Linked DNA regions of Xenopus tropicalis. The protein of the gene in region 2 interacts with the protein of the main gene of each other region in a pairwise test. Links are inferred from orthologs where the notes say so. Each region holds a gene or a part of one and is shown on either strand. Other genes may lie near its edges.

Region 1 (3,760 bases), on a different chromosome or scaffold from region 2:
TTACTTTTTATCACTTATCTTTCTATATAGGCCCTCCTCTATTCATATTCCTGTCTCTCTTTCAAACCACTGCCTTGGTTGCTAGGTTGAATCCAACCCTAGCAACCAGATAGCTGATAATATTCCAAACTGGAGAGCTGTTGAACAAAAGGCTAAATAATTTAATAGCAAATAATTACAAATGAGGACCAAGTTGCAAACTGTCTCATGATAGCGCTGTCTACATTATAATAAAAGTAAAAAGTGATCTACTCCTGTAAGTAAAAAAAGCACAGTTACTATACCAGCAATACCGAGCCACGTTTATCTATGTGGGACACACATTGCCTGTAATTCACTAATACTGACTGTTTGTCCAGCCTCCCCCATATCATGCTGGTACTCCGTGCTTCAGTATAAGCGGGCTTGTGTTTACTACTTAACTGGCCAATCAAAACACAGCACACGTGGCCCCAAAGCAGCACCAGGCAGAACAGTAAGAGGGTGCATGGGGGTGCAGGGAATTAGGCAGAAATGTTATTTTATTAAAGTACATGGAACAATACGGAATGTGTGTGGCAAAAAGACACTCATTATTATCAGTCCTACTTGCTCACTTCCTTCCTCCCTGTACATCACTGCAAGTTACCCCTACAGACACAAGCTGACAATTACGATAAAAAGCCGCTATCTGTCAGCAAGTGGCACAGTTTCTCTGGATAGGGTGCATGGCCCAGGCCTGATAAGCTGTCAGCTTGGCACCGTGGCATGGCACCACCAGAGAATGCAGCATTATCGCTATATCCTTATAATAAAGACAGGGAGTTAGAGACACTAACAAGTCCAAATAAGCATAACCTCAGAGCTTACAAAATAAAAGCAAAGGCACAAAAAGGAATGATACCATTGGCTACAGAGAAGCCCACTTACCTCTAGGGCCAGTTGCTCAAATTCTTGCTCAGGGAGAAACAGGCTCCACCCATTCTCTGTTACCTCAAACATGGGCCGGTAGAAGAAGGGGTACATCAGAGTGACGGAATCCAGGGTAGACAGGGCCTGCGCGGGTCAGCAAAAACAGGGCGTTAGTGATGCTAATGTGCCAACACTAATGGTGGCCACACATGGGCCAAGGCCTCAGAAAGAGGGAGCTGCTTACTGGACGCTGAAAGGACAATGAACCCCCTGACAAATATCTGGCAGGTTTGAAAAGGCCTTTGGATGAGGACAGCACCGGGGCATTGCAGCAGGCATAACAGACCTTGCACAGGTCCCTATTGTCATCCAATTACAGTCAGATTTAAACCTATATACTTAGTAGACAGGTCAGAGTCTAAAAGCATAATATAGAGCGAGCACTGCCTGCTGCCTCCTGTATATTTGTATTTATAGTCTTGATGTGGAGCTGCCATGCCGATTCCCATCTATCAATTTATACATACAAATATACAGAGATGGAATGTTCTGGGCACACAATAAGCTGTACCCTACTGGAAACAAAATGGCAGCACTCATCTCTATATAAGTTTGTTGAAAAAGAGAAGGACTGATTTGGGCTTAGAGGAGGGTGGAACCAACAAAGTCAGTTCTGACTGGACAAGGGAGGCCTAAGATATATGCACTGGGCTACTGGCTGCGGCCAGGGATACAGTAGCCACATGTATATATGAAGCTAGAGTTGAAAGAAAAAGTTTGGGGTGTCAGAGATTTTACAGCTCTGAAACTGTTGACAGACGACCTCTATCTAATGGCTAGTAAGGCCTAATGAGGTAAGGAGACCTTGTAAGAACAGTTTCACTGAATAAGTGGAAAGGGGTCCAAACTTTGTACAGCGGCAATGACAAATAAAAGGTCTTTCTTACCTCAATGGAGCTTGCGATGTTCAGGCACTCCTCCATTCCACTGATTTCCAGCTGGATTATCCGCAGGTCCTTACTTTTAATGGTGATGGTTCCAGATGTGCCCACAAACCTGTAATATATACTGAGAGGTCAACAAAAAATTCTGCCATGGCTTTATATGGGCACAGAACCTCTCAGTGACTGCTAATATCCTTATCATTTACAGTAGGGGGTACATTATCCCTTATAATACATGAGTGATACTCAGAGTTCCCTGTATAACTCAGCCTGCAGCCTTGTGCCTTTATATGGGCACAGAACCCCTCAGTGACTGCTAATATCCTTATCATTTACAGTAGGGGGGACATTATCCCTTATAATACATGAGTGATACTCAGAGTTCCCTGTATAACTCAGCCTGCAGCCTTGTGCCTTTATATGGGCACAGAACCCCTCAGTGACTGCTAATATCCTTATCATTTACAGTAGGGGGTACATTATCCCTTATAATACATGAGTGATACTCAGAGTTCTGTGCCCATATAAAGGCACAAGGCTGCAGGCTGAGTTATACAGGGAACTCTGAGTATCACTCATGTATTATAAGGGATAATGTACCCCCTACTGTAAATGATAAGGATATTAGCAGTCACTGAGGGGTTCTGTGCCCATATAAAGGCACAAGGTTCTGTGCCCCCCATATAAAGGCAGTGCTGTCCAACTTCTGCGGTGCCGAGGGCCGGAATTTCTCTCGCATACATGGTGGAGGGCCGCTAATGGAAGCCAGTTTTGGCCACTCCCCCATTTTAAACCACACCCATTTTATCACAATGGTCGCTGCAGGGATATCAACCATCATTCATATGTTAAAGAATTATATTATGTCATATTAAGACATACCCTTAAATCCATATGCCTCCTCCCCTGTGTGTAGCACAGCAACCCCCAGCACATAATTACACACCTTAGGGACCATATAATGACTATTTCCAACTGCTAACAAACTCCCACAAACCCCTGCCAGGTTCACCTCCCACAGGCAGCATAGGGTAGGCAGAGTATGGCACACACAGGCAGCACTCTGCCTGTCCTATGCTGCCTGTGTGTTCCATACCCTCCCTGCCCTATACTGTCTATGTACCATACTATGCCTACCCTATGCTGCCTGAGTGTGCCATACCCTCCCTGCCCTTAATGGTGATGGTTCCAGATGTGCCCACAAACCTGTAATATATACTGAGAGGTCAACAAAAAATTCTGCCATGGCTTTATATGGGCACAGAACCTCTCAGTGACTGCTAATATCCTTATCATTTACAGTAGGGGGTACATTATCCCTTATAATACATGAGTGATACTCAGAGTTCCCTGTATAACTCAGCCTGCAGCCTTGTGCCTTTATATGGGCACAGAACCCCTCAGTGACTGCTAATATCCTTATCATTTACAGTAGGGGGGACATTATCCCTTATAATACATGAGTGATACTCAGAGTTCCCTGTATAACTCAGCCTGCAGCCTTGTGCCTTTATATGGGGGGCACAGAACCCCTCAGTGACTGCTAATATCCTTATCATTTACAGTAGGGGGTACATTATCCCTTATAATACATGAGTGATACTCAGAGTTCCCTGTATAACTCAGCCTGCAGCCTTGTGCCTTTATATGGGCACAGAACCTCTCAGTGACTGCTAATATCCTTATCATTTACAGTAGGGGGTACATTATCCCTTATAATACATGAGTGATACTCAGAGTTCCCTGTATAACTCAGCCTGCAGCCTTGTGCCTTTATATGGGCACAGAACCCCTCAGTGACTGCTAATATCCTTATCATTTACAGTAGGGGGGACATTATCCCTTATAATACATGAGTGATACTCAGAGTTCCCTGTATAACTCAGCCTGCAGCCTTGTGCCTTTATATGGGCACAGAACCCCTC
Region 2 (4,193 bases):
TCCCAGCAGGGGGCAGCAGAGAACAGTATATTTTCTGGTTCATTGGAATTCAAACAGCCTGTGGGTGTGCAAAACTGTGACTTTATCTAGTTGCAGAAATACATCTTTTGCAGGTGCACAGTGTGGGGTGGAAGCAAAAATTATTTTATTTTTATGGGGCGAAATTGGTGATAATTTTGAGTAGCAAACATAAAAAAAATGTATAAACAACACGTAAAACTGTGTATAAGAAAAGGCCATGGCAGTTAGAGTACAAAGTAACACTGTTGTGGGCACACATTTAGCGATACTGACATGAAGAATCCCATTTATATGGCTAATATATATATATTATAGGGCAGCCCATACATCAGGCGCACCCTCCAACCAATCGGCCCTTGGGCTGAATAGGCAGGGACATACATGGTATTGCCATCTTTCTATTGTTCAGATTGTTTTATTTTTTAAATTGTTAAAAAAGCACAGATGATGAGACAGGAGGAAAGGAGCTGTTTGAGCCCCACACACTGGCCAACATGGGGCATCGGCAGATGGGAGCTGCTTGGTTTCTGTGCTGAGTGATGGGCATGTGACTGACATGAGATTGATTCATGCTCATTCCCTGGCCTTGTTGTTTTATTACTACAGGTAATGCACCTATTATCTATAATGCGTTGGAGCCAGGGCCTTCTGGGTAAGGGGTCTTTTTGTAATTTGGGTCACTGTGCCTTCAGGATACTGGAACAGGTCTGGATTGGTACTAAAAATAGGCCCTAGTATTCCAAGTACACAGAGTCCCGTCCCCCCCCTCCACTAAATAATGACTGTCTATGGCAGGGATCCCCAACCTTTTTTTTTTTACTCGTGAGCCACAGTCAAATGTAAAAAGACTTGGAGAGCAACACAAGCACCATAAAAGTTCATGGAGGTGCCAAATAAGGGCTGTGATTGGCTATTAGGCAGCCTCTATGCACACTATCAGCTAACAGGGGGCTTTATTTGGTAGGAAATCTTGTTTTCATTCAACCAAAACTTGCCCCCAAGTCAGGAATTCAAAAATAACTCCCTGGTTTGGGGGCACTGAGAGCAACACCCAAGGGGTTGGGGAGCAACATGTTGCCCCTGAGCCACTGGTTGGGGATCTCTGGCCTATGGCATCTTCAGCAGCCCCTGTGGCATTTGCCAGAATCCACAGATTGTCAGTCTGGCCCTGAACTGGATACATTTATACATGTGCCATTGCTGACTGAATGGGGCCATGTGGCAGCAACTCAGCCCCAGGGGATTAGCGCACACTGTGCGCCTTTGCATTGGGTGCTTTTGGCCCAGCTCTATAGAATACACTGGGAGAAAGCGCTATTTGGCTAATATGATGGATGTGGCTGATTGGGCAGGTTAATATGTATGCGGCTCAGGCAGCTGCAGAAAGGCAAAGTAGAAAGCCCAGTGAGCTGATTGGCGCAGGTGGGCCGCCGGCTGGCTGATTGCGTGTCCCAGCAGAGAGCGGCGCTAGGTACATATACATGAGAGTGCGCCGGCCCCTCCCCCAGTAGCGCTGCATATTACCGGCGCATTAACAGCCCCGCTTTGCACCATGCCTTCCCCTATCCCTGTGGAGCGCTTCCTGCCCCGGGACCTGTCCCCATCCATAGACCTGAGGCCATGCAGCAGCCCGCTGGAACTGAGCCACCGCAAAGTGCCGGGCAGCGGCCGCCACCGCCTCCTCCCTCCCCGCCTGGCCTGGTGCAGTATTGACTGGGAGCAGGTGCGGCTGCTGGAGCCGGTGGGTTCCGGGGGGTTCGGCTCCGTGTACCGGGCCATATACAAAGGGGAGACCGTGGCGCTGAAGAAGGTGAAGCGTTGCACCAAGAACAGCCTGGCCTCCCGGCAGAGCTTCTGGGCCGAACTGAACGCAGCCCGGCTCCGCCATCCGCATGTGGTGCGCGTCCTGGCCGCCAGCGCCTCTTGCCCCGGGGACCCCGGCTGCCCCGGTACCATTATCATGGAATACGCCGGGACCGACACCCTGCATGGCCGTATCTATGGGCGCTGCCCGCCGCTGGGGGCTGCCGTGTGTATGCGCTATGCCCGACACGTCGCCGACGGACTGTGCTTTCTGCACCGGGATGGGGTGGTGCATCTGGATCTGAAACCGGCCAATGTCCTGCTTGCCCCGGGGGGCCTGTGTAAGATCGGGGATTTCGGCTGCTCTCAGAGGCTCCGGGATGGGGATTCTGCTGGGGGGGAGCCGTGTTGCACCCAACTCCGCCATGTCGGGGGGACCTACACCCACCGAGCCCCGGAGCTGCTCAAGGGAGAACCCGTCACTGCCAAAGCCGATATCTACTCGTTCGCCATTACCCTGTGGCAGATGGTGAGCCGGGAGTTGCCCTACACCGGGGACCGCCAGTGCGTTCTCTATGCGGTAGTGGCCTATGCTCTGCGGCCGGAGATGGGCCCGTTATTCAGCTGCACGGAGGAGGGCAGAGCGGTCCGGCACATTGTGCAGAGCTGTTGGGCAGCCCGACCTGAGGAGAGACCGAGTGCCGAGCAACTGCTGGAGAGACTGGAGCAGGAATCTGCCCTGTACAGAGGGGTCTCTTCCTCCCCTAGCGCTCAGTATACCTCCCCTCCTCTTAGCGCTGCCCATAGAGGCCCATAGAGACCCAGCGCAGGGACCCCCTCAGCACTATAGTACAGGATATACAGCCCCAGTACAGGGACCCCCTCAGCACTATAGTACAGGATATACAGCCCCAGTACAGGGACCCCCTCGGCACTATAGTACAGGATATACAGCCCCAGTACAGGGACCCCCTCAGCACTATAGTACAGGATATACAGCCCCAGTACAGGGACCCCCTCAGCACTATAGTACAGGATATACAGCCCCAGTACAGGGACCCCCTCAGCACTATAGTACAGGATATACAGCCCCAGTACAGGGACCCCCTCAGCACTATAGTACAGGATATACAGCCCCAGTACAGGGATCCCCTCAGCACTATAGTACAGGATATACAGCCCCAGTACAGGGACCCCCTCAGCACTATAGTACAGGATATACAGCCCCAGTACAGGGACCCCCTCAGGGCTGCAGCACAGGGCATGTAAACCTAGAACAGGGATCCATTCAGTAACTGTGCCACAGGAGATCTAGCCCCAGTGCAGGACTTATTTTGTACCACTGGCTCCCACAGACTTGGCCATACAGATGCAGTACAGGGATCCACACCAGACTGAAAGAATCCCAGGGATCAGATCAAGTTGCTGGGTTCCACACAGTCATGTAGCAGTGGGCACTAAGGAGACACCTTGCTTGGCCAGAGGGTCTGAATGATGACTAGGTGCTCTGGGATGCCTGTGCCTTGGAATCTGCCCCAGACTACCTGCATTCCAAGCAGCTGAATACTTTGCAGGGACTATAGGAACTGGTTAACACCTGGTGGCACAAACTAACTGCACCTTATGAGACCCGCTGGGTTGGTAGAGCTTTCCCAGGCCAAGACTTGGCATTAGCCATAATGGGTTTCTGAATGTGTGGCACTGAGTCAAATATGTTTTGCACATTTCATTGTCTGCATTTTTATCTTGGGCTTGACTTACTCTTCTGATTTGTGTGGGATTAATTCCTTTTCCTGGGGGCTGTTCACACCAGCTATGTTAGAAGCTACATGCTGGCGCTGTCCTATGATCATTTCAGTAGTGATTGTATTGGCCGGCTAATGTATAAGCCCATACACAGCCACTGTATTCATACAACTGAATTGCATTTAGATCAGTAGCAGGAATGGGCCTATTTTTCAGTGTTTTATGTGTGTCTGGTGTTTTATGTGTGTTCTCTTCTCATATGCACTTTATGATGCTAAATGTAGGAAGCAAGGGTTTCCCTCACAAAATGGTCATGCCATATAGTGCTGTCATTCGTTATCCTTGTTTGGTATTTCATTTTTTTTGTATTGTGGAGGAAACTAGTTACTTGTAAATCCAAGTGCATTCATAGGTAGAAGATTGTGATATTCCTGTCATTTATTATTCCAGACTGTAGGCAGGGATCAGCTGAACCATCGCACTTAAGCCAACAACTAAGCAATTCTGGCAATCTCAGTTCCACAACCACCTATTCTCAGGTAACATAAGTAGAAAGGCCCTTCCCATGATATAGTACAAACTGAGCATCTCGGTGTCCCTTATTTTATATGGGAAATGCTTTC
Region 3 (3,760 bases), on a different chromosome or scaffold from region 2:
ATAGGTGCTTTGCATTTTATTACACGCCATGTTATGGTGTATGATTCTTTGGGCTACAGCAGTATTCCTGACAAGATCAGTTGAGTGCTGAGCTTATGCTATTCATTTTAGAGTGGGAAGTGGATCCGAGACGAGATCTTTTAGCATCCTCTAAGGATATTATTGTGATATGAATACTAACTTCCAGCTTCATGCACTTTTATCTATTTGCTGTTCTTTAGGTCAGCAAATTGTCATTTATACCACTAACAGAAAATAGTTTCAATAAATACATTTTTCTTTTTAATCTTACATTTACATCTATTGATTATGTTTATTAATTTTAACTGCATACATTTTTATAATGTGCTTTAGGTCATCATGGGAACCTCATGGGAGCACCACCTGTATCAGCTGCACCTACAATAGCAGGGCAGTCTCTTCCAGCTGAACAGGAGCTGTACAGTCAGTATGGGCAAGGAGATATACACAATGGGCCAGTAACAAATCAGATGCAAAGGTATGAATACCCATCAACATTCTTATATCTTATGTCTTAAGGGGCATGTCAACCACAAAAATAATTTTTTGCATAATGAAAGAAAACATAATTCTAAGCAACTTTCCAATATGAAATAATTAAAAATTTGTAGCGCTTTAAATGTTATTTGTAAATGTAATTGCTATTGAAAGCAGCATTTGCTAAACTCCTGGTTGTTACATTTTAAACAATGTTACAAAGGTCTTGCTTCTCCAGCAATACAGGTCTGTCAGTTTGCTGCCTTGTGTTACATTGTTTCAACAGTCTGAGCCACCAGGGCAGAGATTAGAAAAGGACAGGCAAACACTGCTTCTAATAGCAATTATAAATATAAATAACTCAAAAACCATTACAAACTTGTAATAAATGTATATTGCAAAGTTGCTTAGAATTTTGGTTTCTTTTATTAGGCAAAAAAATATATTTTGCGTTGCCTTGTCCTTTAATGCAAAGTGTTTGTTTCCTACAGTAGCACACACATGTATGTGTATATATTTGTGTTAAAAAGATTCCATAGTTACACTTCATTTTTTTATGGATGACTGGAAAGAATATTCTTTTTGCTTTGCTTTATGTATTTTTTTTTTGGCCTTTCAGACCTTTTTGATGCCTATCATGATTTAGGAGAAAAAGCATTGTAATGTGAATGGTAATTAACCTGAAGTTTACTCTCAATTGAGTTGTTGTGTCAAGTACCCTGTACACATGAAACCTATCTGACTCAGAGCTTTTGAAGTTTAATGGATGACAACAATCCTATGAAATATTTTTCTTTAATTATTCATTTCATGCATCAATTCATCTTTATTTCCACAGACCTCCAGTGTCAATGCGATATATGCAACCAGGTACAGGACCACAAGCAGCAAGTTTTCAGCCATATACTCCATCATCAGCCAGTGCACAGCAACAGCAACTGACCAATCAAATGATGGGAATGCAAATTGGTAACATTGCAGCATCAACACCAACATCAACAGCAATGGGTTATGGTAATTCTTTATATTCATTATATTTTTTTTTCTATTTAGACTCAAGCTACCTACTCAAAGTTGCACTAATGCATAAAGGTGCACTAATTGCATATTGAATGAATTTAAATCTAGTCACTGCAGCTTTTAACTGGTGTTTCTGCAATTTAGAAGATTATAATATCATGTATCAGATGCCTAGTTTGGGAAGTGAGTTAATACACATTTATATCATTGTAATTTATTGTAAAGAATTCAAATATTTTGCAACCCCCACAGGTTCTCAGAATCCTCTGCAGCCCAGTTCAGGAAACTTTCCTACTGCAGGATCCGGCTTTCAACCTTCATATTCCAATAGCCAAGGTCCTCCTCCAATAAATTTGACACAGGGAATGCCTCCTACTAGTCTGCCTCAAAGCCAACCACCACAGCAGCGTTTTGCCAGTGGACCACCTCCACAGAACCTTCCTTCTTCACAAGCTCCAGGTTTCCCTCCACCATCAGCTGCTCAAATGCCACCAAGTTATGTGTCTCCTTCTGGAGGTCCTCAACAACCAGTAACACAGGGTCCACCTTTGTCTGGACAGGCTCTACCTGCTCCCCCATTAGCTCATCCAAACCTTGCTTCCCCTACACAACCACCAATGCCTGGAGTTCCACTAATACCTACAATGACTGGTCCTCAGGGACCACCCCCTCATATGCCATCCAGTCAGGATGGATTTTCTCAGCAGAATGGTAAGTCATTGGAAAGGAGATGACATTTGATTCTATGATCTGTATATGTACTACATAAAAGTATCCCATATAATAGTAATGTACTGGCACTTAGTGTTTTGATTGTATTACTGGCAAAGCTTTTCTTGAGTAATGCAGATCAAGGTGCTTGATGCTAAACTAAGTTAACTAAACTAAGTTAAAGACATGTTTTTGTTCTGTAAAAGAGTATGCTGAACCCACATTGATTTATATGTAAATGGGTCTGCTGCAGGGCTATCCATTATGCAGCATTTTTGGGGCAATTGCTTTATAATATATGGACTACTTGACAGCAAGAGAAAACTAGCACTTGGAGGGCTGAAAATTCACTGTTTTACTGCTTATATTAACAAATGATAGTCCACGCATGCAAGGGGATCGCCAGTGGAAAGGCATACTCATCACTTCAACCAAAGCAATGCGTTGGCCTTTCCAATGATGAAACCCTTTGTTGCTGGTTGAAAGGCACTTTGAAGAGATTAGTGGGCCTGGTAGCAGAGATTTATCTTGGGCGATTAGTTCCTCCATGGGGCATTAGCCTTATAAGTGGGAGCCAGAAGTAAGTTGTTATTGCTTTCCTTGTCAGGCATTTTCCTTATATATCTATATGTCTGCATTCCTAGTGGTTTAAATAGTGTCTTTAAATATAAGTGTATAAATACACTTTACTTTCATCTATTAGTTTATTTAACAGACAATAAATGAAACTGTATATTTTAATAGGGTCATTTTTATGGTTAAAGAACAAGGAAAGGCTATATCACTTGGGGGTGCCAAAATGCTAGGCACCCCCAAGTGACTTTAATCGCTTACCTTGTACCCCGGGCTTGTGCCCCTGTTAGGAGAAAACAACACCAGCCCGTGGTACCTGTAGCGGAGAGCTTACTCCTTCCACCTGTGTTTTGCAAGGACTACACGACAGGCGCATGCGCAGTAGAGTGAAAAGCCGACTTCTCTGTTAAAGTTTGACTTTTCACTCACTCACGCGAGCAAAGAGGGAAGGAGGAAGCACTGCGGCTACCCCGTGCTGGTGCTGTTCTCTCCTAACAGGGGCATCAGCCCGGGGTAAAAGGTAGGTGATTTAAGTCACTTGTGGGTGCCTAACATTTTGGCACCCCCAAGTGACTTTGCCTTTCCTTCTCCTTTAAGGGAATGGATGGTAGTAAACACCCGAATAGCACAATTTTTAATATAATTCATTACCATTTATTCCCACATTCAGGTTCATTTGGGCAGGTCAAGGGTCCTCAGCCAGGATATCCTGTGACGTACCCACGTGCTCCAAACTATGGCAGCCAACCAGGACTCCAAGGTCCTCCTGCACCACCACCACCAGCTCCACAAAAAAGACTCGACCCAGATTCCATTCCCAGTCCTGTAAGTATTTCCATAATTTGCACACATTTCTACAAAACAGTAATGTATAGAAAAAGTAGTTACTTTATTTCTAATATGCTTGTGAGTAGCATTTTAAAGGCACATTACTATACTAAACCTTATTCGTTATTCA

Evidence for each region.
Region 1: the proteins of mos (region 2) and mtmr9 interact in binary tests that used the Homo sapiens proteins (3 or more experiments, as listed by UniProt). The link is inferred for Xenopus tropicalis from reciprocal best matches to the Homo sapiens genes MOS and MTMR9.
Region 3: the proteins of mos (region 2) and sec24c interact in binary tests that used the Homo sapiens proteins (3 or more experiments, as listed by UniProt). The two-hybrid records come from large-scale screens. The link is inferred for Xenopus tropicalis from reciprocal best matches to the Homo sapiens genes MOS and SEC24C.

What each region holds. Positions count from the first base shown.
Region 1 is NC_030681.2:150,904,562-150,908,321, forward strand, and holds part of mtmr9 (myotubularin-related protein 9), read right to left. Parts: intron 1,948-3,760; coding exon 1,839-1,947; intron 1,036-1,838; coding exon 910-1,035; intron 1-909. UniProt on the Homo sapiens protein: Acts as an adapter for myotubularin-related phosphatases. Increases lipid phosphatase MTMR6 catalytic activity, specifically towards phosphatidylinositol 3,5-bisphosphate and MTMR6 binding affinity for phosphorylated phosphatidylinositols.
Region 2 is NC_030682.2:115,736,179-115,740,371, reverse strand, and holds the start of mos (proto-oncogene serine/threonine-protein kinase mos), read left to right. Parts: upstream 1-1,360; 5' UTR 1,361-1,573; coding exon 1,574-2,641; 3' UTR 2,642-4,193.
Region 3 is NC_030683.2:44,243,228-44,246,987, reverse strand, and holds part of sec24c (protein transport protein Sec24C), read left to right. Parts: intron 1-354; coding exon 355-499; intron 500-1,336; coding exon 1,337-1,512; intron 1,513-1,770; coding exon 1,771-2,229; intron 2,230-3,472; coding exon 3,473-3,627; intron 3,628-3,760. UniProt on the Homo sapiens protein: Component of the coat protein complex II (COPII) which promotes the formation of transport vesicles from the endoplasmic reticulum (ER).